2 linked regions of the Coturnix japonica genome follow. The main gene of each other region encodes a partner of the protein of the gene in region 2 in a complex. Links are inferred from orthologs where the notes say so. Each region holds a gene or a part of one and is shown on either strand. Other genes may lie near its edges.

Region 1 (14,971 bases), on a different chromosome or scaffold from region 2:
TATACGTAGTTTTGCCATAACCTTGTAGAGTAATCTGGTGCAGATAAAGGATGAATTTAATTTCATTGGACTGTAGTTTTTGTACTATCAGTAGGGAAGAACAGTTTGGTGGGCAGAGGGAAATACCTGGTTCACGGCTTTTTAGTGAAAAGTTTGAACTGTCTGGAGTGGGTACAGCTAGCAAATGTACCAAAGAAGAGAAACGAAGGGACAGTCATTGGCAAGCATTTGCCTTTTTCAGAAGGCAAAAGAAACGGGTAATATAGACTTGCAGATGTCAAACAAGCACCAGCCACCAGCTTTTTCCCAACCACATATCAGAAATAAGAGCACAACAACTGTATGAAAAGAAGCGATTTCAGGAGAAAAAATAAGACAGAAAAATCTTTTAGTGGAGTTTCACAGGATAACAACTTGTATCCAAATTACAGAGTACTACTGTTTTAATTCTGAATATTTTATGAGTTCTGTTTTTACAACAAACATAAGAAAACATCTGAAATTAAGAAATTTTGAGTTCAGAATGATTAACGTTTCTATCAAAAACGTTTCTATCAAAACCCTCATTCAGACTAATTCAGAACGCTGATACGAATTCAGTTATGAAAGAGGGATAATTGCCAACCCACCATACAACAGTAAGATAAGGAGGAATATTTCTCAGTACATTCAGGTTCTCCTAATAAGCTCTCTCTCACCATCTAGTGGCTTTTCACCCCTTTCCAGGACATCAATTATTTTTTTTTTCTTTTTAAAAAAACAGTGAGATCTCTCATGTAAACTTATATTTTCTACATGTTTGTCACTAAAAACTGGCTTTGTTTTTAATTCAGAAAGAGAAAAGAAGAAAAGGAAATGATAAGCATGTGCCATTTTTCAAACATCCAACTTGAGTTCTCTATATGAAAATACCACGACTCACATTAAACAACATGCAAAGTAATCACAAAGTGTGTGAAAAAATTGGAGGTGGATTAGGATTTGTCTGTCATTTTGTTTGCTGGAATACATAAAAAGTTCTTCACTCTTTCCTAACCCTATCAAAACTAACCGGCTTTAATTGAAGAAGCTTTTAAAAGATCATTTTATTGTCAAGAAAGGGCTGCAGTTCATATACTCTTAGAAATACTGGTTGGAGGGGGAGCTTTTTAGATGTGCTGGATGACTCCAAAAACATTCTCAAAAATATAAAAGGAATTTTCTGAATGACCAATTGCATTTTGTCATGGGCCTTTTGGAAATGCTATTATCCTATTCATCTATTTGAGGGCCGATCAGTTTGCAATCCTGTCAACTACTTATCACTGAAAAGTCCTTAAATGTAAAGGGGTAAAGTTCAAAATCTGCAATGCTGCTACATGAATGCCTTAAAAAATGTTTCTTCCACATTTGAACAGTAGATCCAAAAGAAATAAGGAGTGCTATAAAGGAATATGATTTCTGCAGTCAGTAACTGTCATTTATTTATTTCAACTACTGAAATCTTTATTCCTTTCTACACTAGTCCTTTCACCTTCTTTTAGCCACATAAACAGTGTATTTGTTGGTATATATAGTATACGTCATATACATAACAGATCTCTGCTTGGAATCAGTTTTACCTTTTAAGCACCTTAAAAGGTTTAACTTGAATATTTTTTCTCCAATGTATACTGTAATGCATTTATGTCTTCACTGTAGTTCGTGAGTATAAACACCAGTTTATGATTGCTGATACAACTATTTTATAATCAATTCTAAACAGACCACTCAGGATTGTTGTTCTCACCAAAATCACAGTGCTTATCTGCAAATAGCTCCAAGAATGTTTAATAGGATAACTCATTGAATGAATGTGGCCCAATTTTACACAGGAGTCTAGAATTTATACAGGAGTAGAAATAAAAACACAAAAATTAAAAATATCAGGGTTTGATAATGAAATGTATATTCTGTCATTTTTCTCTGAATGAATATTTAAATGAGAGAAAAATAGAAGCAATTAGCCTTACCCTAATACTCATTATTTACCATTAAGAGATAGCTGGATCTTTACTCATTTTACAAGTAAAGGCATACCCTTTTCCAATGGCTATCCCTACACAGTTCATTTTGGAATAAGGTTAGGCAGCTTTCCGAGTTTCCTTCACTCTTTCATCACTAATAAGAGATACAAAAGAGAACAGTGCCAAAGTTGAAAGGTCACAGAGAATATTGTGCAAATACACAGCTCAGATGCTTGGCTCAGAGAGAACACAAGTAATCTGTCAGTGACAGAACTGAAGTGTTAGATCACCACTTTAATGCTTCCAAAAGACATAAAATAGAAACCAACTGATCCCCAGATAGCCCTATATAAAAGAATTTTTATTTCTATTAGGTAAGTGCAAAATCTTTCTTCCTCCATCTCCTTCCTACAATAAAAAGTAGAATTGTTGGCTAGAAATATGTCTCAGAAGGGTTATTTAAAGAATTAGCTTACCCATCTACAAGCCCATGCTGTAAAATAAGTCTCTGAGCTTCATCTCTAGAGATTTTATGATGAAACCATGACTGAGATCTGTGAATAGCTGTAGAAATAAAGATATTTTAAAAATATACGTTGGCTTTATTGAAACAACTGCTGCATTTCTTCTGTAATGAAATAAATCACACATACCCATGTTGGACATGGCAATCGGACTACCATGTGAGTTGAGTCGCAGACAGCCTCTCCTCTGTGTGAGAATTAAAAATGATTTCAATATTTTCTTGTTAAAAAAATAAATAAGTTAAGATTGAGAAACAGTATTCTGATAAAACAAAGATGTTTATACCCTCCAGGCTAATCCTTCTTCAACTGCAACGGAAAGGGCTTCTGTTGGGTTTTCTATAATTCTGCTTCTGTGTCCTGAGAAATCCATTGCAACTAAAGAATTTTCTGAAATGCTCCTCTGCAAAAAAGAAAAACAGATTTAGTCTGTTTCTCTATTTTATTATTTTAACTAATGATCCATGTTTTAAGATAGAGCTTCTGAGTAAGTGCTATGTTTTATAAACAGCGTTTCAAATATCTGCAATATTTCCCACCACAGCCAAACTCATTATACCACAGGTACAGCCCTGTCCACTGCTACAGAACTAAATTTCACAGCTTGGCAGGACAAATCATCTTTTTTGCAGAACTGTGATACATCTATACACACTTTTAACATAAATTCTACTTATATGTGTAAGGTAACTATTCTTAAGTAGTTCAAGAAAAAAAGATAAAATAAGAAAATCCTACCCGTAATCATCATATAAGCAAAGAATTAAAGTTTTTTGCTATAATTTATGTATTTATTGTAAAATTTTTCCCTCAAAGTTTACTGCATTTAAGCACTGGAAACAGGCACTTCTTTGGAGATTAAGTTCTGTTTTAATACTCCCCTTCAAATTCCTGGCCATCAAAGAACAAGCACAAATTCAACAATTATGCAATCTGGTATTTAAAAAAAAAAAAAAAAAAAAAAAAGCCTGATTTTTCTTTCCCTCCCAGTGAATATCAAGTTTTTAACAACAGAATAAAAACAATTTCAGGTCTTAAAGCTCACCAAAACACTACTTTGAAATTCAGGTTTATAAAAAACTTGTTTGATGCTGATTGTAATGTCTCAAACATTGGCTGGTGCTGCTATGACAAATAATTAAAAGAACCTTCCGGAACTGAAGTAACATCTAGAACACAGGAGGCCCAGATTTCTGTCCAAAACCAAAGGAGCTCTGTTTTGTCCCTGCACAAGGGTAACTAGAAACAGAAGGCAGTAATTCTACAGGTCACTGTAGTCTAAGGTCTGAGTAACTGTGACACTCGGCAAAAGCAAAATAATAGGGAGAATAAGACAGTGTCTGACTCTAGGAGAGACGAGGGAACTTCTTGTTGCTGGCAAGGTTATAAACTAATCTGGAATATGAAAACCTGAACATACTTTCTCTATGAAAACACTTTCTCTATTTTCAATAGCTTAATCACTTCATTCTTGAGTTTATTTTCTGTTTAACTCACAAATTCTAGACAAGTATAATAATTGTATCATGCTTAACCCAGTTATATATTTGGCACTAGAATCTAGATGTGCTATAGTGTATGTGGCTGTGCAAGAGGAGACAGAATCAATAATGGCTCCCACACCCATTATGAAAGTAGCAGCTGGCTATCATTAGCTTCTTGTAACAGACAGTATAAATAGTCTGTATATTAAGTGTAATTGTGAAGCCGTGCTTATCAGCAATATCAGAAAACAGTATTTTTGTGAATCCCCATAAAAGCAGATACACATCTTAAGTGTTTTGTCAGCAAGAACTACATTAAAAAGCTCAAAACAAACAAACAAACAAAAAAAAACCAAACATCATAATGGATCCTGGCAACAAGCAATTTTTACACAATTTAAACCATAAAAAGCACAAAGTGCTATACATCACTCAAAAACAAAGAAAAGAAAAAAAAAAAAGAAGTGACTGGGATAAGTAAGATAAGGTTTTAAAAGGACAACCTGATCCCAAATTATCTGGCTGAGGAGACAAACAGATCATCAGTCTACAGAGTGCTATGCCTCCAAAATGCACTTTTGCCAAATTATGGTGTTCCTCCGAGCTTCAGGCAGTATCACAACAGGTTAAATCCAATTTAAATAAATAACCATATGGGGCAGTTACAAAAAAAAAAAAAAAAAAAGAAAAAAAAAAGAAAAAAGACAGAGACAGAAGCATTACCGCATACTGAAAAGGATTTGTTAAGGCTTTCTTATTCATCGTTTACAGTACATGTAACCTTAAGCACGTTATTCTTTTTTAATGCATTTACAGTTCTGCTACTTTTTTTAAATCCTCACTGACAGTGATAATAAGCCAATAAACTCCCCAAATACTGACTATCTGACAAAAGAGAAAAGCCTGCTAACTGGTCTGAACTGCCCAACTCATATTAAATAAGTAAATTAATTAATTAGCTCTCTCATCTACTCAGATGCCCCTAAAGATTTCACACATTCAAAGCACATTTAAAATCTGCAGGACCAGGTCAGTAGTGTAACTGGCAAAAGTCACTTAAAAATAGCATGACTGCAGAAACAGTATATTTACTCATGGAGCTACTGTGGGACGTACCATAGGTGTTATACTCAAAGGGCTGCAGCCACTTCTACCTTGATATGGTTGCATGTAATTCTGATACAGCTGCATCCCATACTAAAAACAGAAAATAATATGGTTAGCATTTTAAACCATAAGCCTGAGCCGAAGAAACTTTCTTCCAGGTGTAGAAGGCAATGCTATGATTCCATGATTTTTTATCATTATAAAGTAGGGACAAATGCTGTTAAGATAATGAAAAACAACATCGTTTTTGCTTTAGTTTTTCTAAACGTACATTCTACATGAAATTCTGCTCATTTAATACATCAACTGACCTACACCTGTTTTTTCCACAAACACATTTTTAAAACATCTCATGTATTCTTGTAGCTTTGTTTGCCATTACCAACATTGTCTCTAAGTTCAGCAAAGTTACATATAAGTGCATCCCTTCCCTTACGATTATTCCAGTAATTTGGCCTGTCTGGTGAGATGAAACTTCAGCTTTTGTCGTACATTGATAGCATTGATAATGCTATTACATGGGAACCTATAATTATGTTATTTCCCTACTTCACACTATAAAAATTAACATAGTAAACTTGAGAAAGAAGTTAACTCCACACAGAAAAGTTACCTTAAACAACCTTATTGCTGTCATCCAACAGGTCCTACTTTGTTCATCATCTGCACAGAGCTGTTTCAGGTCTCTGGTTCCTCCTGATTTGTTAGGCTAGAAGGCCACAGCACATTTTTTTTTTTAGCATTAAAGCATATCTTGAAGATAATACCTGTTGAAATAAAAGCCACTAATTCTCCTATTTTATAACAGACAGCTGAACATTGTTTTCAAAAGCCTTAAAGAAACTTAAGCTTACCGAAAAACTGTGGCTTGCTTTAATATGTATCAGAATGATAAGCTTGTACCTTAAAGCAGAATCCATAGCTTGTTGGTGCTCCAGAAATCTTTTTGCCTGTCAAAGACATGTATATATCACTATTGCTGAATTCACAGAAAAACTGCAGATGCCTTGGCTCCTATAAAGAAGAGCAATGTAATACAGTTAGACTACTTTTAGCTAGCATCTCCAGATAAGAAACTCAGAATAGTACAGCAGTTCTCTTGTTCCAAAATAAGGTCTTACATCTCAGTTTTAACTGTGATGCTGTCTCATGAAATCTAGAAAGAGGCAACTCAAAATTCACTTCTTAATGCAGAGAACAAATACCTTAAACTGGTCAAATAGTTTGCTCTTCCAGACAGAAAACATGAAGTATAGAAGGCATCAGATTTCTGGGAAAATATCTACTAGATTCACGTCACAGTAGGAGTAGAATTTGGAAGTTTTGGGAGTAGAATTCATTTCAACCATCAAAATAAAATATACTTTTAGAATTTGAAAAACATCACACTGCAGTAATTACTGTTGAGTATTACTTGTAGCTATTACCTCCATCTTCCAAGATAACTCTAATTAAGTCAGGCAAAAATAAATAAATAAATAAATAAATAAATAAATAAATAAGAAGAATCTTTCCCATTACAATAGATAGAATACAAAACATTTCCTTTTTAATCACATAATGTACAATTTAAATTAGAATTAATACTGTATTAAATGACAAATACATATACACGCACTCTAACTTCAGAGTTCTTTCCTCTGGTGTTTTTTTCCTTGCCTTACCTTAGATGTACCTTTAGTGGAAAAGTAAAGGCCAGATCTTCTCAAAACAAAGTATAATTTTTTCCATGATTTTTTTCCCTGCTCTTTTGCATGTAAATAACCATGAATCTCAGGATATGTGCTGGAGCTTAGGAACATCTGAAAGAAAATATCAGCCACACATTTCTCTTTTTATCTGAGGTCATCTTGCTATTTCATTATCATCTTCAGACAAGACTAAGAGGAATATACTGCTGATAACACTATTACACCACAGTAATTCAGTTATTGGATCTAACCCCATTAAGAGTACCTCTCATTTAAAGCATACAGACTATTACATAACTCCAAGGTATGCAAGGCAAGCTACATATTTATATGGAACATATGGTTTGAAATGAGAACATTAGTTATGCAATATGTTGACTTCAGCAACAAAACCAGTGTAAGAAGTTCTGATCCCATACCTCAGACCCTATTTTTATAAAACTGCAAATCAATGCTACCAACAGAAGGAAAAAAAATGACATCTCTCCTCACCCTCCCCTGCCTGCTACAGACCAAAAAAGGGAACTGATGCGAATTAAAATTAATTCAGCAAACAAAATTTCTTTATCACAAATCCACACGCGTCTGGAGGATACTACCATTTTCTAAAGAGGAGGAAACATAAGGTCTCTGGACCTTATGTGATGCTAAAGCGGGTGCTTTAGTTGTACCAAGAGCTACAGCAGGTATTTACTGCCCGCATTCAAGGTCATGTGGTGGAGAGCTTTTGGCTGAAAAAATCTGCATCAGGAGCAAGACAGGAGGGGTTTAAAGACTCAGAAGGTCAGCCCTTTTGTCTTCAGAACCATAGGCTTGCACAGTCACAGACCCTTGGAAAGTCAGAATGATATGGATAGAAATTAACTGATGCACCAAGAGGAGCTAATTCAGTTTTTTATTTTGTGCAATTCAGCTAATTGCACAGTCTCTGCTCAAGACATCCACTGACTTCTGCTTAGCCATTTTAGCCAGACACTGATAGAGAGCAATACAGCTGTCACCTAGTGAAGACCAAATATATAGTTCTATTCTGTCTACAAAATTGTACTCTAATTCCATTTAACATATTCAGTTCTGTTCCTCTTCCTTCAGTAAAACCAATCAGAATTATGACTGACACCTAAACACACTAACCCAGAACTTTCCAATTTCTATGTATGCAAAGGAATTCATATTTCCAATATGCCAATGCACATCCAAGAGATGCTCCAAGAAACAGACCACATTTTAAACAAGTCACAAGTCCTACTTAAAATTATACACAAGTTTCACATCTAATCAAACCAAGTGAATGAATTTGTTGCCCACCCCTGAGAGTTACCAGTTCTCAAACAAAACAAAAAAAACCCTCAATACATAAAAATAATAGAATATTTCATTGTCATTGAGGTTTCTAATTAAAATCTACATACTGCATTGATTTTATTTCAAGGCATCCTACTTGCAAAAATAAGTAAATATGTATTCCAAGTAACCCAAAGTGACTGCAACTAGACACATGCATATGGAACGCTCACGCTCTAAGCAATATAATCACAAACTTGTTTACTTTTTAAGGCTAAGGATCTTTATAGCTAAGATTAATACCCCATCTTGTTGCATATAGACATTTGGCATACTTTGGAACCAGTGATTCTATTTAGCACATGCTAAATAGAGAGGAGGCAGGTATACATTTTGTTTGCTGTTGGTTGTTTTTTTAAGGCCATTTAGATGTTCTGATTTAAAGTCATGAGACAAAAAAACTTCCTCTTTTGCTTTCTGTGAAAGTCAAGAAAATCATACTTGAAAAACATTTTACTTGCTTACAGGTCAATCCACAAAAAGCTATAAAAGTATCAGAAGTGATTTTTTAATCATTTGTAAGCATTGATTTGTTAAGATTAATGTCTCTCTTGATACCTGACCGAGCACATCACAAATAATAACACAAGACCATTAACTTGTCTTAATGAAAGTTTCCAAGGAAATAGCAACCCACTGTAAACTATTGACTGAAGAGCTTCTGCTGAAACAAACGTGGTAGCTACAAATCTGAGTGGGTCTTTATGTCTACCAAGTTTTGTTAGCCCAAATGCAATTAAACATACAATACAACATAAAATAGCAACAGATGAGGGATCACAAGCAATTTTCAAGTTTAACAAAATTGGAGAGAACTATATATATATTCAAAAGGATTCTCAATCTGATCCACAAGCCTTGCACATTTTCCACATACCACATATGTTCTGTTCTGCGGGCTGAAAGAGGTTCTGTGCACGGGTATAAATGGCAAACAGTTTCATCTTAAAATACTCAAATATGAGATTGTTTGCAAGCAAAAAAAAAAAAAAAAAAGAATTTCTCACAATAAGGGGGAAGAGATTTGATGACGAAATTAAATGCTTGCATTAAACTACATGATCTATTTGCTACATAAAATTTGAGTCAATTTTTATCAAAGACGTAACATCTTTTGATGTTACAGAATTTTTATTTAAGTTCATATAAATGATTCATATAACACAGTATGCAGCAATTACAATTTATGCAGAACTTTTAAAACTACATTTGGGGGTTATCTATTTGTTAGCATCCTCTTTTTTACGTATTAATATATGTAATACATAAATATAAAATATTTTATGTTAAATATATATACATGTGTGTATTAAAATATAAATAAGAGAATACTAGCAAATAGATAAATATTAGAAAATATATATGTAAGGATATAACTATTTAGTACAGATGAATGCCTTGAAATTTAGTTCTTTAATATTTTTCATTTACTGGTAGAATGTATTGTGTAGATGCACAGAAGTATATTTTAATTTCCATGTTAATTTTAGTTCTACCTTAAAATATACCCTCTTGTGTTGCCTTTCCAATCATTCTTTATCCCCAAAACTCACACACAGGGTTGTTGTCTTAAGACCAGTGAAAGTTCTTCTATTAATTAAATTTCCCAGTGACAAGCAAACAAGAGTGATGTGCATGTTTCCACCTTTATTACTCATTTTTCCCCTCTTTCAGAAGTAAGATGATGATCCCTGATATGGTCATTCTGTGAAATTATTCCCACTGTAAATTAAAATCTTGTGTCCACTTAAAAGATGACTAACACTGAGTGACCTACCATTTTTTTTTGTAAGGTTACAGTAGCCTTCAAGCTAACAAATCATACTAGTCAGTCTAAATTTTCTACTCATTAAGTTCAAACATTTAACTCTTTTTTATATCCATTTGTATCACATCACCAATTTCTCAGTATTCTACTGTTGTGCTGCTGTATGTCATAATTATTCCAGCACTACAATCTTTCAAGAAAACTTTAACCTGAAGAATTCAATACAGGTGTTGGCCATTTTTTTCTTTACTGCATTTTAGCTATTTCTGTGACATTTGTTTCTGTAAGAATGTGCCAATTTCCAAGTACAGTCATATAGTAACTGTCTGGAAGGGATACTCCATATTTCATAAGGAAAGTAAGATATTAACCATGTTTTGAGCTACACAAAAACTACCATCAGATCTTACAGTGACAGAGAGCTGTGCTCACCCAATATAGACAACTGTGAATTGCAAAATATATGGTTCATCTCCTCTAAAGGTTACGTACCTGTAATATCCCAGAGTGTTTAACAGCTGCATTGGTCTCACTTGAAAAAGATATCATATGATCAGGAAAAAAGCTCTGCAATGACAATAATTCATATCAAAGTTTTGTAAAAAATAAATATTAAACTTTGTTTCTCTTTTGGATGTATAAATAAATAAATAAATAAATAAAAATTAAGGAAAAAAAAAAAAAGCTTACTTTAGTATCCTTCCTAAATTTGTGACTATGTGTTATCTGCTGAGTAACTTAGAAATATGAGCAAAAGCAAAAAGGTTTCATACAGCAGTGCAAGTCATATTGCAATACCTGGCCCCCAGTGTTTTTCTAGTAGTAATTTCTACAGCTGTTGACAACTAGGACTCACCAGGGGCTTCAGCATGCTGCAAAGTAGGGATGATACACACCAACATGCTGGAAAGCACAGTTTTCTACTATTTTTATTACACTAGAATCCTACCAAAATATTTTATAACTCCTGTTAAGAGAGAACAAGTCCTTTCACGTTTTTGGGGGTTTTGTTCTGAACGGTCTACTTGGAATTATAAGAATAAGAACCGAAATGTGACTACACTAATATGGAGAGGTCAAAAATTCCACAGTGTGCAAATTTCAAGGAAGTCTGTGTCTCTCACTTTGCACCTCCCCCCCCAAAAAAAAAGTTATTGGCCAACAGCTACATACACTACAATATATTCTTACACTCTTTATATACCATCCAAATAATTCCTTTAAATTCACATTACACTAACAGCCTTACAGCCTACTTGCACTAACAGGAAATGCTATTTTGCAGCAACACCATGTACACCATTTCACGTATCAGATGTTACGACTTACCACCGGATTTTTAAAAAATTCATATTTGACATAATTTTTCCTAAAATAAAATTTGTTTTCCTCTTCCATTCCCCAGTTTGACTGGACTTCCATCACTACCTCATGGTCTTCTATAGCTCTTCCTATTAAAAAAAATGATATATATATATCAATCATAATGATATTAATCCAGCACATAATCTGCACCTAAGAGCACAACAGCAAACCATGAAAACAGAGAGGTCAGACAATTAAAATAATGTATGTTACAAAACTTTAAACCAGTAATCTGAACACAATTCATTAATTAGGTCCACGTTACACCAAGTTATTGTTCCACTCCCACTGAATTGGGCTCAGCTTCAATGTCTGATGTAGTTCATGTTGTGGCTGGTTTTCTTGTTTGTTTGCATTGGTTTGTTGTTCAGGGTCTGTACATTACACAAACCAATCCACGTGTTCCATGCAACAGAATCCAGGCAGCTCCTGACATGTGCTGCCCAGGGCAGCAGGAAGCAGATCACCTTAACAGCTCATCTCTGTCCACCCTGCCTAAGACATAAGGAATGTTTTTCTGACACCTTTGTCTCTAATGCAGCATTCATACACTGTAAACTGTCCACAACATGGAAAAGATGCCTTCTTCCTTGGTCCATGCAATGTTCTGAAGCATTTCTAAAACCGCAGATGCACACAGGGCATTTTAATGCTTTTTTGTACAAACCAGGGATACTGAGAACTTTAGCAGGTGTAGCACTAGCATTCAAGAAACAAAGGGTGAAAGCAAAAATAAAAAAAACAAAAACAAAAACCTAAAATGAAAACAAAACAGAAATGTAATGGCTACTAAATGAATCCTAAAATGTACAGTTTGGTTTAGCAGCAGGTAAAGGGAATGGAAGAAAAGACAATTCAGTTGTTTGTACTTTATGAGCACATTGGGGGAGCACAGAGGGGCAGAATCAGTATTCTCACTATTTTAGACTGCTCCTGCAGCATGTACTCTTGACGGAATTTTCCTCTTGTAAAGCAAGATCATATACATTTAAAGTAAGACACAATCTAAGAACCTTCCTGTAGATGTGCTGTGTAAGTTCAAGGGCTGCATACTCTGAGTAACGCAGCGAGACAGCTCACAGTGTAGGTTTAAGAACAAAACATCTTTCTTCCTGCCAATTATGGAGTTTTGACATCTGATTCTGATCATACTTTCAAAGGGGAAAGGCAATTAAAATGTATTATAAAAACCATGCAACTCACGCAATTTTCTGATCACATTTCCCAGACTTCATCTCATTATCAGATCTATGATGTACTTCAAGTGAATTCTGATGCTCTGTTGCTCAAAACTTTTTAAGAGTTGCAACAGGAAAGTTAGGGTAGGAGGTGAAATAGTGCTGTTTGGTTTTTTGTTTGTTTTTCACACTTAATTAGGCATGATGTGAAATTAACATCATAATAAAAGCAAAGTTTTTGCAGGTGGTCCTTGCTAAACAAAGAGAGTGACTTTCATGAATCGCAGCACACAAAACCTTCTAAAAGAATAACAGAATCGAACCTCAAATTTGAAATATCAGAAAGTAAAAGAAAAAACACAACAGAGCCTCTGTGAACTACAGCATTCTTTTACTGTCTTCTCTCGCCTCCTTCTTCATCAGTCACTGCTTCATGCTTCTACACTGTGAAGCCTGTTAAATTGCAGCCTGCTGTAGCCTGCATATCTATAAGCTTCTTCAGGAGGTTTCCAGCTAGCAAGTTTAGAGACAATATGCTCATGATGGCAAATTTTGCCTCAGTACAGAAATATCAAGCTCGCCACTAGCAGAAGACAAAGTACACTTATGATCTACATAATAAGCAGGGAAAAGTTAAGCTTCCATTGAATTTAACTCATTCTTTAAGCCCGTAAAGATGGAGTTTAAAGATCCCATACAAAACTTGCATTTGTAAGATCAAATGAAGCAAATGGACAAATCATGCAGCAACCCAGAAAACACAAAAATTACCCCCCAAAATACTGAAATAAAGCAGAGTATTTTAAAAGGTTGGACGGGCGGATCTACTCCAAAACACATTCTTCAATTGCAAGGGGGAGAGACACTAAAGAATTGAAGACCTTACATAAAAAGAACATTTTTTTTTTCTTTTCAGAGAAAGCTCTCGTCTAGGATGACATTTAAAACTCCTGAATGCTTGGCATTGTGACATTTAAGAAAATACCATTTCCTCAAGAGTTACTTCTTGGTACAAAAATAAGACGTTCTGCATCACCCCAATGGGTGGGTAAAGATGCTGTCGTTTTTATTTTTAAGGCATAACATCACCGAATATTTTACAATTTATTCAACTCATTTCGTTAAAGGAAGTGAAACACTGAGGTAGTGCACCCCAGAACACACTCCTGCAGTCAAATCAATACCCGCTGCCATGAGGAAGCTGCACTTTGGTTTAGTTAGATCATTTTTTTTTCTCTCCCAGCTGACTGGAGGGTTCCTCCTTGTCTCTCTGCTAGCTCTTCATCTTCACTGTCTGCAACACCACAACCACCTGCCACAGTCCTAAACAAAGATGCTTCTTAACCGTGTTAAGTCAATAAAGCACACGGAAGAAGATTCAATACTGAAGTGTACAACAGAACAAATTCCAAGTGGCCTCCTCCCTAGCTACCCAGCTGGAGGGAGGAGGTAGTGAGATAAGCAAAATAAAGCAGGAAATGCTTTTGCCCCATACTATTGCATAGGTAATACTTTGAGCATTTTCCCATCTGGGGAATCACAGAATGACCCGGGTTGGAAGGGACCTCAATGATCATGTAGTTCCAACCCCCCTGCCTAGCAGGGCCACCAAACCAAAAGTCTTCTCACAAGCTGCCTATGTGAACTCAGACAGCGAACACAAATGGGAAGCAGAAGTGACAGGCAGTTTAGGTGCCTGGCCAAGGGACTCTGGGGTACCCAGAGGAAGCTCAGAAGAGAAATCTGTCGAAAAAAACAAGAGGAGAACTGCTCACTTTCACAATATTCTCACCGGAAAAGGAAAACAAACAAACAAACAAAGCAAAAACGCAAAAATCAGGGTAAGGAGTATTCTCTCTGCAGAAGGAAACGGCTATGGAAACAGAACTCTCCTTTTTCACAGCCAGCCCTGCATAGGAATGGCAATGGAGGCAGGATTCGGAGCCCCCAGGTAAGGACACGGCTCATCCAAGGCACGCCCCAGCTGCCTCCAGCAGCTCCAGGCGAGGTGGAGGAGTACAGCACCATTGAATTCAATCTCCTGGACTACAAGGCCACCTCCCGGAGCACCGCTCCCGAGTCACGCCATGCGCAGCGCTGCTTGAACGACCGCTCCCCGGGCACCGAACCACATCGGAGCGGCGCTGCGCGGAGCGCGGGCACCACCCGGCGGCCAGACGTGGCGTGGCAGCGGCACCGCAACGCCCCGCGACCCTCCACGTGGGCGAAGGGGGGGGTTGTGTCCTCTGCTGGGCTTAACTTACTTCCTTCTTTTCTAACCTTCACATGCAGGTATCTGTGTGCACAGATGAAGGCTCGCTTCAGTGATGTAATTAATGTCTGTCTTGATTAAAAGCAGAACGCTGTGCTCGGCGCACTGAGATCCTATCGCAATCCTATCTAATTCAATAGCATTCAGGCAGCTGTTAGATATTAAAGAAAATGTTTGCTAATCGATGAATTAATTATTAAGCTCTTCATACTGATGCACTCGGTCATGGTATTTCTCCTTTCCAAACCCATCA
Region 2 (15,658 bases):
CAGCACAGATCAACACTGCTCCAGTGTTAAGGGACATCTGCTCCACAGAACCCAACCATGGGCATCTTCCATGCAGCCCAGCTTGGTTTGTTGGTGCTCCCCTACACCGCTGAGCACCATAAATGTCTTATGAGCTCCTCATAAGCTCAAGTGAATTAACTTGGGATGTGTGGCCATTCGGAGGCATCAGCACAACCCCAGCACTACACACACTTTGAACGCTGTTGCTTGGCAAGGATGGGAACTGACGCCCCAGAGAGATTATCGGGTGTCAACTTCCATCTGGCATTTGTCAGAGCTGGGAAGAAAAAAGGCATTTCTTATCAGATCTTCAAATAAAAGAGCACTTCCACCTCGTGTGGTAGAGACTGGAAACATTGCTTTGTGTGTGAAGCTTTAAAAATATCTTGCCCTTGGGGTTGGCTCGGTCTGCTCAGTGCTCTGAGACCCCTTTCCCATAGAAAGGTAATAAAGCAAAGCTTATGGCTACAGAAATTCCCAGCACATAAAAATTACAGGAAACTGTTGCTAAGTAATATTTCTACCTAAGTAAACATCACAAAACGTTTCCCACACACACCTCTGAACTTTATTATTCAAACCTGCCTTGAAGATGTTCGTATTTTCAGCATTTCTTTTGGCACAGTCCCTTGAAAAGCACTCAGTGCTGGTTCTCAGCAGCTGAAAAACACTTTGGGCTGAGCAATGCTTTGTTGTGCTGTCTGTACCAGGAAACAAAGCGAGCTGCTAAAGCAAACCTTCAGATCCTTACCTGCCCCCCACCTGCCCCATTATTTTTCCTGGATAGGTCACAGGAAAATGAAAGGGAGATCTGGCTGCACCCTTTGTCTCCAGACCTGCTTACACATCAGTCAAAAATCCAGACAAGCATCATTATTTTCATACAGCGCCTCTCTGTAGCAGCTCCATTACGTGCCAAGTACTCCAAAAAGGCTCTCAGTTCTACCTGCTCCATTCTACCCGCTTCTTCAGCTGGGCCCAACGCTTTCATGTACCTTCCATTGCCTTTTATATACCTCCCACTGCCTTTTAATGGGGTTAACAAATTCCTGATTGCATTAATTGACCGACAGACGAGTTTCCTTTTTAATCACATGAAAATCACAGAATCACAGAATGACCCAGGCTGGAAGGGACCTCAAGGATCATGTAGTTCCAACCCCTCTGCCTGGCAGGGCCACCAAACATACACATTTACTAGATCAGGTTGCCCAGGGCCCCATCCAACCTGGTCTTGAACACCTCCAAGGATGGGGGAAAAGTCTATATACAAACCCCATTGGAGCTGCCCATGCTCCAATGCCTGGCAGCACAAAGTCGCAACATCACAAAGATGGCAGAAACTGATAAAGGTTTCATTCAGGATGAATGGGAGAACTTGGACGTCACCGTGTGCTCCAGGAAGGGCAGCACCCTGTATTCTGGATAACGTGTTCTCCCATCCCAGGAGATGCTCACTGAGGAGCTGTCTGATATTACGGATCCTTTTCCTGTTAAGTTTGATTCAGATGCTCCGCTTTTCCTTCCCGTTACCTCCCTCCACCTCTGGATGACCCAGCACACGAGGAGAAGGTCGAAGCAGGGACTGCTGAAAACATCAGACTGCTTCAGATTACATACGGCCAGAGAGGACGGAGCGCAGAGGGAGCTGGCAGGAAATCCTATTGCAGTGGGAACTGTTCCTTCCGTGGGAGCAGTGACAGACGTACAGGGCTCTTATTGCATTGAGGAAAAAAAATGCCAAATATGAAAATCATGTTTGGCAGATGTGAGCTGAGGTCTGGGACGTGGCATTTCCAGCATTTTTCTTGTCTGGATTCCTCAGCAGAGAAGCTGTGAGTGAAGACGCTGCACTGAACTAAGAACCCAATCTCTACAGCAATGAAAATAAGTACATCTGTGTTAAAAAACGCTTATAAAAACGTGGGCTGAAAAGACAGAGAACCTCCAGAAGAGGCGCAGCCTTTGGCTGCTACAAGCAGCACAAGGCTAGACCCAAATTCCAAACCGACTGCATATTTCTCTCCCTTCCTACCCAAAATACAACATGAGTTGGCCTCAGCTGAACGGCTTTTCACTTTTCATACCAACACGAGCGACGCAGAATAAAGGAAAGGAGGGTTCAGGGGAAGCACATCCTCAGCAACACCCACCTGCACGCTGCTATAGGCGGACCCTGTGTGTTCCTTTCTAGACTCCCCAGTATCACCAATTGGCCGTCCCACAGCACACAGCTGCCCACACATTCTTTCAGTTCCTCCACGTGCTGCCTGAGCTCCCATGGCTGCAAGGAGATCTTCCCCTTTGCTGTCTCCTCCGATGTGTTATCAACAACTGAAACACTGCTGGGCTGCACAGTGTGATCCCGAGGACTGGAGGAGCAGCTCTGAGATAACAGCACGTTGTGACTCAGTCGGTGCTGGAGTTAAATGGGAGATGGGAATTGGCTGAAAGAAGGAGCAGCAAAGGGACATGGGCACAGTGGGCAGGGAGGGCAGGGCCAGGGGATGCTGGGCGCTGCAGCATTCAGTGCTGAGAGGCCCAGATAAGCCACCTGAGTGCAGAGAGATTTGCCCACACTGATGCCCTCGGTCCTAAGTGCCACTGCAAAGCTCTTTAGGCAAAGGGAAGCCACGAGCTCGTAATAATTATGACAAAGCAATTACATGCATGAAGGATACGTTATGGCTGGCAAAGAACAGGGAATGCAGCAATTCCACCAAGAGATTCTCTAAACAAATACCGCAGCCTCTGCCATGGCTACTACAGCACAGTCAGTGGTGGAAGCCTAAAGGCAATTAAGAAAGAAGTCAAAACAAAGTCTGAAAGAACGCTCAGAAACAGTCCCACCAACTAGTGGGGCCAAAGGCCTCACAGAGCAGAACAGACACCACCTCCTGGTGAGCACCAGCTGCCAATGAGAGCACGAAGCAGCGTTCACAACAAGGCCACGTCAGACTCACTCAGGTGCCTTTGAAATGTACCTCCACGACAGAATAAAGGCATCGCAGCATCACTGCCCCAAGGACAAGGAGCACGGAAAACCAAAAGGAGATTTGGCACAGAGCAACACCTGGAATAATTCCCCAAATTCCAATTCCAACCATATGGATACTTCAGGTTGGCTCCCTTTGGTAATGGAGCGTGGGGCAATGTCTGCTATCCCCCCCCAGGACCCCACGCTGAGCTGATGTGAGGGGCTCAGAACGCAGGGTTCTGCCCCAGAGGTGCAATGTTAAATTCCTCCAGGTTTCATGGAAATAAACAGTCACGTAAAGGAGAAGAGCCACACGTCCCAGTCTGCTGCAGCACAGCCCCAAAACTCGCAGGAATGAGGGATGATGAATGCTCCAGACACAGAAAACTGCTTCAGTTCAACCTCTAACTCTGGGCAACAGAAGAAAACAGACCATGAACGCACAGCAAACCAGGTGCACTGCTGATAATGGCTGTATACCAAAAGAGCTTCCAAACTAAAATGCTTCATAACCTTACGTTTCCTCTCAGAGAAGAAACACACGCAGACTTTCACATGATCTTGCTCAAAGCCTCTTATTCCAGCAATAAAAAATAACCACTTTCTTTAAAAGGAAGCGAGACAATTTGGGGTGAGGAGCAGCAGAGGGGAAACCACATTAATTTCATTAGTTGCTGCATACTGCAAGGAATTCCTTCTGAAATCTGGCACTCAGCACTCGGATTTGCCCTTTAAAGCTTGGCAAGAAATTTTCCTCAGCCCACAAGTTTCCTAATTTCATCTTAGGACACACTGCTTCATTTGGATGCACTACCACCGAGGAGACAGACAGCTCTGAATGTGTCACTTTCACCTCAATTCGCTTTGCTTCTCGTCGGGTGGATTTCACATAAATCAAACCAAACGTATAATTACAACCAAAATTAAGGTCAGCTTCAAGTTTGGAAGAAACAAACCTGTATGAAGTTCAAAGCCACCTTAAGGACGTCAAGAACTGGAGTCTGGGGGCTGGGATGGCAGCTGTGCACACAGCTCTGCAGCACCAAACCCGGCCTTTCCTCCCCTCCCCTTCTCCCAGCTTCCTGCTGTGTGCAAACAGTGCTCACCCACCCACCCATCTCACACCTTTTTATGGCAGGAAGGTTTCAGTAAAAGCATTATTGCATCCTTCCGGAGTCAGCTTTATTCCATAAGACCTTTCCCTGCTGCTCTGTATCCGCCTTTCAATCGAGCCAGGCTTTTAATCCCACAGCCCCAAAAGAATTCCTAATACTAGGACACAGACAACAGCTACACCCATAGAGCACAACTGGGAGCTCTGGGAAGCCCCTGACTTTCCAGGGAACCCAAACACGGCACTTTTGGGCACGTTATTCACATGGATGGGTAACAGCTGATGGGAGCATCTCAGCTGCCCTGCAGCTCACCCACCTCTCTGGCAGCGGTCGTGGGTCCAGCAGCGCTCGATGAAGATGCCGTTGATGACGGTGGGTGGGCAGTTGCTCTTCCCTTTCACCGTCCCAGGACACACATCTCCACACTCCTCCTTGTCATCCTTGTTGGCGATGATGTAGTTGTCCTCGACGGAGTCCAAAATCCTCGACCAGTCGATAGTGGACAGGTAGCACAGCTCGTTGTTCTTCTCGATGCGCACGGCACCGCGCGTGATGTTCATCAGGTTGTAGAGGCCGATCTCCTTTAGATGAACCATCTCAAAGATGACCAGCGCGTAGTTAAAGAACAGATGTGTTCCTCGGATCACCGTGAGGTTGGGGAAGAGGCCCTTTAAGCTCTCCAGGCCATACACACGGAACAGAAGCAAGTAGTCTGTAATCATAGTCAGTTTGGGGAAGCTGAGCTCGCGGAAATCTTCAGGCTTGGTTTTAAACATCAGCAGTATTTGTAAGTGGCCCTCAATCACCGTGCAGTTCTCCAGCAAGCTCAGCCGGGTCAGGTTGTTGCGGATGTCCATGCTTCTGCAAACTGGGAGGCAAAGAACAATGCTGTTTATTTGTTCTTATAAAGGTGACCGTTAGCTGGCTAAACACACCCATTCTTCCAACTGTATCCTAAAATGCAGCTGCATTCAGACTACACGGACGGGTCCTGTGCGACAAAACACGCTGCGAGCGTTAAGAAATAGAGCTGGGAACACTCCCCGGTATATGATTACAAAACACGACTCAATGGGGATTTCATAACGTTCTGCCATCTTGAGTTTGTGGATATTACCTCTACCACGACTGGAAAGGCAGCACCGGGCCTCGGACGTCACTCAGCGTTTACCGAAGTGGAGGTGTCCATGCAACACAGTCTGTTTTCTTTAGATAGTTGCCAGCGACACAACTACCTCACTGCGTTGTGCAATTGGTGCTGGGGGGGTCACTGAGAATGGTGGTGGGGAGGGGAAGATAGGAAAGGAGCAATGGGGAGAACATGGCAGCACTGGGAAGAGAAGGAACACATCCTCCCCTTGAGAATTAACAGCGCAGGATATTTACCTTTTTTGCTCACTGTATATACAGAGCAGTGACTGTAAAATGAAGCTTCGAGAAATCACTTGGCAATAATCAAGCCTTATAAAATTAAGGCACGTGCAGACGTTGGATAGCTCTGACTCTCCAGCTCCTGGTGGGTGCACTAAAGGTCACTGCTGTGTGAGTTAAAAATATACTTTATATGCAAACGTCTTAATGATTGTTTAAAACTTTGCTCAACTGCAATGAGAGAAAAAAAACCAGCCTCAAACTGGCAGTGCTGCTGTGGGACTCAGAGCAGCATTAGTGCCCATTGGGACTGCTGTGAGCACACAGCATCAGAGATGCCTTCTGCAAGAAGAAGTGGGGGCACAGAGCATCGTGGAATGGCAGAATTAGGGCTGGAAGGGGAGGAAGGAAAGGCCTAGAATAAATGTCATCGGTGCAACAAGGCTGGGGTGGGTTTTTTTTTAGTAACAATTAAAATCGGCACATTTGTCTCTGAATCATTTCATTCTGAACCCAACAATCTGCCTGTGCTGAGAAGTGATTGACTTCACTGCAGCCTCTAACGAGCTCCTGACATTCACTCGAGGAAGAGGAACGTAATCACAGCTCAGCGGTGCCAAGTGGAAGAGCTTCAGAGACCTAAAGGAGATCGGGAGGAGAACAAACTGCTTTCCAGCCACACGCGGACGGGGAGCAGGGCAGGCACAGGGTCTGCTGCTCCCTTCAGACCAGACCCAGCAGTCGGGGAGCAGCCCACAGGGGCTCCCTGCCATGTGATGGCAGTGCCAAGGAGTGCTGCTCAGTGCCCCTGGATGCACTGAGACCCCCACCCACATTGAGCACTCAGAGCACATCATGGGTCTGTATCTGAACCAATCAAACAGAAGGTGCTGGGATGGTAAACCTGTGAAGATTCAAACGCTCAGGCCAGATTTTTCCACCTTTAGAGAGAATCACGTTTAAGGTTTATCTTTCATTATCTTCTCCAGGTTAGTTTTGATGTGCTGAGCATCACCCACAGCTCCCACACTCCTCCTTCGCACCTCCAGGACCCACGAGAAGGAGCCGTAACCACATGAAGCCAAATCTGCTTCTCTGTCTCAGGGCCCTCAACCCCATCGTGTGTCTGAATCCCACTCTGCAGCAGCTCAGAGCACACCACAGCTGCTAAGTCAGCCGTGCATTTACTGTTACCAGGACAACGAGAAGCAGATTTAGGCGAAGTAATGACTGGCTTTGCTGCCAGAGAGGAGCTGCTCCTCCATCTCTGGTTACTCAGAACAAAATCACTTTAAAAAAAATAATAATCAAATAAATGAATCACGATAGACAAGTTTCATTACACCCCCCCAAGAAGAACACTGCAGTGTGATGGAAGTGCACCAACCAAACCTTGGGACCTCAGCAAGACACAGCTGCTGCTCATGGGTCTGCACCATGGGGCCAGGATGACACAGACAGCCCACAGACCATCGCAGATGATCATTGGGGAACCACAGGCTCAAGGAGCAGAGAATACCATCAGTGGGGAGCAGACACAGCCCAGAATGCAGCATCCACGAGCTCCATTGCTCAGGGAACAACACGTGTGTGCTGACACAGCCCTTGTACTGCATCCCCCCAACCCACACTGCGAGTGGAAGCACAGAACGCAGCACACATTGCACATATTGCAGAGCCTTCGAGGTGGGACCTGAGCGCAGCAGAGGCTGTGAGATCTCTGCTGCAGTGTCTGTGCTGTGAATGACACACATTCCAGCCCAGGTTTTGCTGCTGCACCTCCTGTGTCGCTCCTGTTCTCCATCCATAATTGTACAGCACATTTCCTTTCCTACTGTGGAGTAACACAGCGAGCACCATCCGAGCTGTTCACTTTTTACACTTGCAATAAAAAGCAGAATTAGCTTTTAAATAAGCACATAAACACAGCGTTTCGGTGTGGCAGCAATAACAGTGCTTTCAAATCAGTAACTGCTGTGCTGGAGCAGCGTGTGTTTTAATAGCAGTGCTATTCACCAACCAGCCCAGCGCTGTGTGTGCAGCCAGCTGTGCTCCTCTGGAGCTGCTCGGGGTCGCCTTTAAGGCCTCCATGCCAAACCTTTGTATGAGGACAGCACGGGGCTCTGCAGCACACAGCGGGGAGAAGCCGAGCAGCCATTGAGTGCTGCATTCTGTGCTTTATTCTCACTGTGTATCGACGTTTCAGCGATGCCCATCGCTGCGCTGGGTGGATTTGGAGCTATTCTCTCTCTATGCTGCCTTTGCTGGTGGCAAAGCCGACAGGCCGTGGGACCCGCGTGCTTTCCTCCAAAGAAACACATTCACCTTTACCAGGACTCACCGCCCGCACGCACACACACAACACACCGCGCACCCACGCGACCCGTCCCGCAGCGCGGCGGCTCCTGCTGCGGGGTCGCCCCATGTGGGCCCCGCGTCGGCCCGAGCCCCGCACCCGGCTCGTGGCTGCCGAACACCCACCCGATGGCCGCGGCCGGACGGGCCGATGGTCGCAGCGCCGCGGAGGCCCCGCGATTCCGCCCGGCTCGGCGGCCCAACGCGGCCCCGGAGGAACGCGGAGCACCCGCGGAGCCGCGGCCCGTCGCGCCTCCCACCCGCCCGGGGCCGAAGCGCCGAACCGAGCGATGAAGGTCACCCGAACCTCCCCCCTCCTCCGCCCCCCACGGGAGCGCTCCGGGCCCCGCTGTCCCGCTCCTGAGGCCGCGCCGCCCGCCCCGAGGCCCGGCCCTGCCCCGCCGGGCAGAGGTACAAAGGTACCGCTCCGGGGCCGCCTCTCCCCGCCGCCGTGCGGGGCCGCAGCCCGGGCCCCGCTCCCCCTCGGTCCCTCGGTCCCCCCGCTCCCCGCCCGCACTCACTTTCGGCGCGGCCGCCGCAGGCCGCCAACACCGCGGTCACGGCCAGCACCGCCGCCGCCGCCGCTCTCGGTGCCATGGCCGCGTCCCGGAGCCGCTCGGCGCGTCCCGGCGGGGGCGAATCAGAGGCCGCGGGGCGGGCGCGGGGGCCGGGCCCGGCTTCGGGTTCGCATCGTCCAGCAGAGCCCCGAGGAACCGGCCGCCGACCCCAGCGCGGAGCCCGGCCCGGCGGCTCAGGACGCGGCTCTCGGCCACTCCAGCGCAGGCCGGGCGGGCGGCCGCCTCCTGCCCAGTAAACAAGGGGCTGCCCCCGTCAGCTGCGAGCGGGCGGCGGCAAGAGGCGGCGCGGAGCCGGGACGGGACGGGGGGCGGAGCGGAGCGGCCGCTTCCACCTGCCGGGCCGGGGCGCTGCGCTCAGCGCGGAGGGGAACGGCCCGAGAGGAACCGGAGCGGAACCGGAGCGGAACCGTTCGGTGCCGCCGTGTTGGCCGCCGGGATCCGGCACAGCAATGCCCAGCACAACCGGCCCGGGCGGCTCCTGCGCAGGGACGCAGCGTCTGAGTCCTTTTCCTCCTCTTTTAATCGCCTTCGCCGCTCGGTTGTACGGAGCCATTACCCCATTACCGCACGTTTCCTGGCAACTTCCAGTAATTTTATCAGGCTTTTGCTACCACCCATTTCTACAAGACGTGGAGTTGCGTCAACTGCGGGAATAAAGCTTTGCTAATTCTGCCCCGCTCAGTTAAAGAGCTTCTTCCAAACCTTCGTCCCTCCATCAGCTTTGCTCGGCTCTCACCGCTCTGCTCCTCCCCCCGTGGAGCAGCACCGGGCTGCGGCTTCCAGGTGCTGAGCTGCTTTAAGACAGTTTGAGCTGTGTGAAGTATTTGTGCCATTAATCCCTATAGAAGGGAGCCACGGGGCTCTCCCATCGCTGTGAATAACAGGAGGAGCAGCAATGAAACCACAGCCGTTCTGGGGGAGCTCAACCCGACCCCTCTGTGATGTTTCCCTGTTGGACGGGGTAAGGACAGGGCCTGGTTCAAAGCCACCTGCACGCAAAGATCAGCAGCTGTGGCTGCTCCAAACCCTTTGCAGAGCATTGGGATGTTGAGATGAAGGGCCCTATGAGCAGCGCTGCCTTCCTTTGTGTGTCAGAACAGACCCCCAGGTCTGTTCTTGTTGTCATTTACTCCAGTTCTATTTATGAGCCCCACAGACTCAGAACTCTGCTCGGTCCAGAACACTGCAAGATGTGAGGGCAGGAGTGGGAATGGGCAGCAAAACTGCACTCCATGCTTGCAGCTCAGCCTGCCTCATATCAGCCTCTGCATAAAGCAGAAAGAGCCACACGTCATCCCCAGAGCTGCGTGGAATCCACAATGTGACTGTAATAGCAACCTGCTTCTGCTTACTCACGTTCTCCTCGCTTTCCATGTGATAATAATATCATCTTACCGATGGGAATGGGGAGGATTAAAGGCTGCAGCTCCATTCTCTTTCACTCAAACACTATTTTTAGTTTCTGGTTGCTGATGAGGACCATTGGTGTGCAGCCTGTGCTCCGTATCCATCGTGCTTTTGCCATCACATAACCCAGCAGCACCCGCATGTTCCTGGTTCTGTTCCCAACAGCAGCACCTCGTGCTCTTCTCTCATTTCCAACTGAATAAACACTGCTAAAACCATTAGTCTGAGGTATCAAGTACAACTCCTTCCTTAAGCATTCTCTCTCCTCTCCATGTATGTGTTTCTTAGGAGCAGGTTCTGGGTGCTGAGGTGGAGTTACCCCATGGAGGAGATGGTTCTGCTTGGAACAAAGCATAGGTTGCCTTATTTCTGTTGAGTCAAATGTGTGTGCAGCACACACCATCCATCCTCCCATTCTTTGGGGATGTGGAAGAGTTTCTTGCTTTCCAACAACAGCTCAATGTGAGCATGGCTGGCAGGATGAGGACAGAAGGTTCTGGAATAGCCTGCTCTGCAAGGCCTAGCACTGAGCACAGCACAGCTGGCCCTGAGAATCGCATCTCATCCTGTTTGGAGCCGTGCAGAACTATTGCCAGATCTCCCAATATAAAATATTTCACGTCACAGAGTGACCCAGCTCCTTTCTTACCCTTCCTTCCGTCCGCACCAAATCCGATAAGTGAGCGCTGTCTTCCCAAAGGGAGGGAGCTCTAAGGACGAGGCCCATCCGCCTTCCGTGCTGAGGGCAGAAGCCTCATCTTTCTGCTGCTGAAACAGGAAACGCTGTCAGATCCTTCCAGATAATTCCATCGCTACGTGAGCAAACACAACCTTTGCTTGAGGTGAAAATGGCAGAGGGCATCTCTGCCACGTGGCTTCAAAGCCGCCAGGGATGAGGAGCTCAGGAAATGGCAGCGCTGCCCATTGCAGCTCCAGCTTTTGTCCTGGTTGATGGTTGGGTGTCACGCGATGCTTTCCATTCCTTACAACCTGTTTGAACTCAGCACACGCAGTGAGCAGAGAAACACAGCCCAGCCCACAGCCCAGCCCCATATCCTGCCCCACATCAACCATTGCTGCCCCATATCCTGCCCCACAGCCCAGCATCCTGCAGCTCCATAGAGCCCCAGCTCCCCCCCCATGCCTGGTGTGCAGTTCTCTATCAGCAGCCACGTGCACATCAGTGGCTGCAGCCACGTCACTCTCACACACCGTATGCACACACTGTGCCCCAGGCAACCGACTGGCTGTGCCAGTTCCCAGCTACAGTTTGCATGGGGTTTTTCTTTGTTTTTTTAATTAACTAATGCACTTTTGTTGCTAATCGAGGGTCAGAATTGGAGGGATGGCCCCTCCGGGCAGCATAGCAGAGCTCAGCAGACCATAACCCTGTGCTCCACGTTGCTTTATCTCGTGTTTTGTGTTTTGGACAGCATAGAACTCCTAGTTCCCACTTTGATAAGCAGTTTGTTCTGTCGCTAGGAGACACACCCTTTCTTTGTAAATGTTACAAATCAAGCATATCTAATCCATTATTCACAAGCTGCTGCAGCTTCCCACTTCCATCTATTAAGAGGTAGCAATCGTGCCAGAAATGTCACAGTGGTCTCATGTGACAGGTGGTGTTGATTCAGCTCCCATGGTTTGTCATGTCACTGTTGGTCAATGGGAACGTGCAGCACAGCTCAGTACAGCGACCCGCAGTGAGGAGCAGCCAGCACAAAGCTGCAGGCCTTGGGAATGGCAGCAGCACTGCTGCAGACTGAGAGCTTTGATTGCTGTTTTCTGCTCCTTCGTGCTGTATTATTATGGCTGATGTTTCTTTCATGCTTGAGACTTGGATTCTGAGGTTTCAATTTCAGGTTTACGATGGAGTCAGTGAGAAGGGAGGTGGAGCAGCATGTGGTGAGCAGAGGGATGGGACCTCCATCCATCCCCTCCTGAGAGCTATCACCTGAGGATGCAAGGCTCAGGAAGGCTGCGTTCACCACCCTGACATGGCCCAAGTCTCTGACAGCAGCACTATTAGCAGTAGTTATTATTTCTACTCGCTGCTTGGAGTTGTGTTCTGCAGAGCAGGGCCCAGCCCTGTGTCTGATAAACATCTCCCCATGTAGATTTCCCAAGCTTTGGGAATGTTAAGCAATTCTCACTTGGCAATGCTTGCAGAATGCCATCTCTGTGTGTAACACCAGCCCATGAAGTGAAGCACATCAGAACCCCACAACAGAACATGGGGCCGAGGCCTGAAGTCACTGAGCTCACCACCAGCATTACCTGGAGAAATAAGGTCTGTCTGTGCCCCCACTGACTGCATTCTGTGACTTATATAATACCCTCCACACAGACCTTCAAAGCAGCTCCGAATTGCCATCGTTACTAAAGGAACTGAAGAAAAGCAAAGACTGCAACTTCTGACTGACAAAGCAATCACTGTGTGCAGGAGAGCTGCCCACAGGAGCAATTAATCCCTTTGGTTCATCAGTGCAGAAGGTGATGATCCTCCATAGGGCACTGCTCTGTGTGACAGCAGTGATGGGGTTGATGGGGTTCAGTCTCAAATCCCATCACACACCCACAAAATGCCAACACTGTGAAGTTAAATGGCAACTCATGTTGATTTGGAGGACTGAATGCTTCTGGAGGGCCGGCTGCTACTTCCCTTCCAGGGCTTTTTTTCACTGTAACATCCCACTATCAACACAAAAACCTCCAGCACCGCACTCTGCTCTAAGAGAGACGCTCAGCATCCACACACGGAGAAGCTGAACTATCCCCACCTCGTGGTCCAAAGGAGCAAATGGTGAAAAGCACAGCAGCCATGGGAGGTTCTTCAGCTCCTCCAGTGCCAACACTGCATGCATGAACACAAACACACACCCACAGCCTCACAGTAACTCCAGAAAGGGCAGCACAGGTGCAGAACAGCTCCAGCTAAATCACCAACACCTGAGAACGGCCGTGAGACTCTTACAGTGAACCCTGCTTTATCGCAGGTTATTTTCTTCCAGCTGTAACAGTTTACACAGTTTGCTCTACTTTGTATCTCTTACAGATCCTAATTGGACCAGGAAACTTCTGACCACAGAATTGGTCCCAAGAGGTAATGGCTGATTTCCCCCCCCTCCTTTCTATTTCAGTCTTCCTTGAAATACCTGTACAGGGAGATCTATACTGTACAGGGTGTACTGTGTGTACAGTTCCACACTGCCACTGCGTCTCCTTATGCAAAGGCAAAACATAAGTGACAATGAGGGAGAACATCAGTGCATTGAAAAGGGAAGCAAACACAACTTCAGCCCTCCCACAGTAACACCAACCTGAACAAGTCTGCAAAACCAAACATTCCTCTGAGCAGAAGGTGAGCCTGAGAACAATTTTACCTGTCGGCACTCTCTGAATCCAAGCCAGGACAGCAACTCAATAGCAGCGTTCTTTTCCTACACCCTACAGCTGTGTATGCACACAACCTTGTAATTAAATATCCTGTTGGCAGTAAGATCCCAGCACAGCAAAGCTGTTAAAGAAAAAGAATTAAGACATTGACGGAGCAATATTTATATCCCTATTGAGTAATGCCTTTCAGAAGTTGTAACACTTGCCACAACCACATTAAAAACAGAGGAGTGTATCCATCTGCTAAGGAATCTTTTAGGAGCTCAGTATGAACTGCTATCTTTAACCAGGTTCTTTCCTCAACAGGCAGTGATATTAACTGGGGAGAAACATGTCACAAAGTACCCAAAAAGTACCAAGAAAAGGTGGGAGGGGAGGCCATGGACAGGACAGGTGGCAGTTGTTCTTACTGACACTCATCACGCCAGCTGAGCCTTCTGACTTCATTTTAGTTTGGGGAAAATTCTGATAAAGAGAATCATACTGATGAATATAAAACAAACGACAATTAACATCATCCATAACAGCCAGTTGACTGATTTCTTTGCATGCTGTTCAAGGCGGTCAGATTCATCCTTCAGCTTTTCGAAGTTCTGGTCTGCCATCCGGAGAGAGTGGGACAGCGTCTGGGAACAAAGAGAATTTGGTCCATTAAGTCCAACAATCTTTTACCTGGTGGACACCCCACTTCATTGCTGTTCAGCTATGAATGAGGAAGCTTTCATGACCTGAACGCTAAAGGATTTATCATGCTTTATATAAATGCTCTGCCCTGGCCTCCCATGGCTGTGACAATGCACTGAACCAATGGGCAGACCTGACCACAACACAACAGGAAAGGAGCCCAGCCAAGAGCCTGTGAACACTGTCTGTCCGTCACTGTTTTTAAACGTCAGTGAGGTGACGTGAGAAAGCTCTTGAAGAGCTACAAGGTTACATTTGAAGTCAGCAGTGGTCTAGAGCCTTCAAAACGTCACTCTCTTGGCTCTCCTGAATGGAGGTGTTCACAGCTGCTGGATCCCAGTGCATGCTATTTCTTTTCTGACATGGATGACACAAATTAAACCTCTTCCCCCAAAACTACCTTGTCTCCTACATCTGTGCCTTGGTGTCGGGTCTCTATTGTGGCTAAGTGGTAGCTGAAGAGCACAGGAGAGCATTGAAAGCAAAGTCCCTTTGATACCTTCATCAGTATCAGCAGGGGTACATGAAGGGTAAAATGTGCTCAAGCCTTCCCAGGACTGAGATCAAATGCTGCTGACAGCCTGAGCAGTAAGGACTCCCTTATCTCATGGGGATGACTGCACTACCTGTAGGTAAGTTGTGAAAAAAACAAGGTCCTAACAAATAAATTCATTTTAAAGAGTTCCAGTTGTCAAAGTGAAGCACCAGCAGTCTCAAACACATAATTTACAGACAGAACACCTTCAATTCTGAATTCAAAAGCTCTCATCACCAGTTCTTCCAACAGAGAAAAGGTTCACAGCTGCATGGCAGAAGCAGACAGGCACTGCCTGCAAATTTCCCCTCATTCTAACCTCATCTGGAAGTCTCAGCTTTTGTTTCTTACATATGAGCGACTTAACCTCCTAGATTGCAACTGAAGAGTTCAGCATTGTCACACACGCTACCTGGTTGTCTTGCTTTATCACGTTCTGAGCAGCCAAAGTGTTGTTTTTGAGACTGCGAGCCAAACTCAGCATTTCCTCCGCTAACTTCTCCTGCATGTCTTGATGGTGCTGTAACACAGCATCCAGCTCCACTGCTGACTGCTTCTCATCAGACACAAGGCCTCTGCAAGAGCACAAGGAAAGAAGAATAGGGATTTGTACTTATGGGGAACCACTGGGAGGTCAGCTCAGGTTGTACAACTCTGACAGAACAACACGCACTTCACCCAAATGGGAACGTATCTGTGATTTAAGGTCATTGGGAAAGGCAGTCCCAAGGCACGGAGCATCAAAATAAGGAATTCTGACTTACTTCCGCTTCCTTACATTCAGCTCCTCAGAATCTGGAACAAAAATAAATGCTGTTTTAGCATATTACTCAACACTGCACAATCACAGGCTGATAAAACAAGTTCCTTGAAAGATTTTCTTTCCCAGAGATGTAATCCCAGTTGGCCTGGTTCTACACCAGGGAACGTGGATTTCAAACGTCTGTTTTCCACCAGGAAAAGACAGTACATAACAGCAAACGTTTGGTTGGGAGAATAAAACACCTGAGATGAATCACTTCCCTGAGGGCTCGGCTTCGCCCATGGGCTGTGCTGTTCTCTTCCAGGACACTCAGACTGGCCTCATTCCAGCCACTGTTACAGTAGCTATGGAAACCACAAATTAAATCCTACCAGTTCCCTACGTGAATAACGTGGCTGTATGTTAGCTCCTGAGATCACACGGTTTGCTCACAGCAGAAGAGAACGTTGGCAATGA

Evidence for each region.
Region 1: the proteins of INSR (region 2) and GRB14 are in contact, whole or in part, in a crystal structure (PDB 2AUH), measured with the Homo sapiens proteins. The link is inferred for Coturnix japonica from reciprocal best matches to the Homo sapiens genes INSR and GRB14. Residues at the interface, in NP_000199.2 of Homo sapiens: Leu1065, Arg1066, Ile1069, Glu1070, Lys1112, Arg1116, Arg1163, Met1180, Arg1182, Tyr1190, Lys1192, Gly1193, Gly1194, Lys1195, Gly1196, Leu1197, Leu1198, Pro1199, Val1200, Trp1202, Ser1207, Leu1208, Lys1209, Asp1210, Gly1211, Gln1235, Asn1242, Glu1243, Leu1246; in NP_004481.2 of Homo sapiens: Glu373, Asn374, Ser375, Leu376, Val377, Ala378, Met379, Asp380, Phe381, Ser382, Ser386, Val388, Ile389, Glu394, Val398, Ala399, Glu401, Glu402, Gly403, Leu404, Trp406, Arg407.

Annotation. Positions count from the first base shown.
Region 1 is NC_029522.1:26,422,448-26,437,418, forward strand, and holds part of GRB14 (growth factor receptor-bound protein 14), read right to left. Parts: intron 11,355-14,971; coding exon 11,233-11,354; intron 10,471-11,232; coding exon 10,396-10,470; intron 6,903-10,395; coding exon 6,765-6,902; intron 6,115-6,764; coding exon 6,004-6,114; intron 5,810-6,003; coding exon 5,714-5,809; intron 5,191-5,713; coding exon 5,110-5,190; intron 2,913-5,109; coding exon 2,796-2,912; intron 2,697-2,795; coding exon 2,639-2,696; intron 2,550-2,638; coding exon 2,462-2,549; intron 1-2,461. UniProt on the Homo sapiens protein: Adapter protein which modulates coupling of cell surface receptor kinases with specific signaling pathways. Binds to, and suppresses signals from, the activated insulin receptor (INSR). Potent inhibitor of insulin-stimulated MAPK3 phosphorylation.
Region 2 is NC_029543.1:3,192,376-3,208,033, forward strand, and holds the start of INSR (insulin receptor), read right to left. Parts: upstream 8,673-15,658; 5' UTR 8,437-8,672; coding exon 8,361-8,436; intron 6,263-8,360; exon of another isoform or gene 5,231-6,262; intron 4,982-5,230; coding exon 4,430-4,981; intron 1-4,429. Other genes in the region: vesicle transport protein USE1, read right to left, coding at 13,664-13,846, 14,852-15,014, 15,204-15,234. UniProt on the Homo sapiens protein: Receptor tyrosine kinase which mediates the pleiotropic actions of insulin.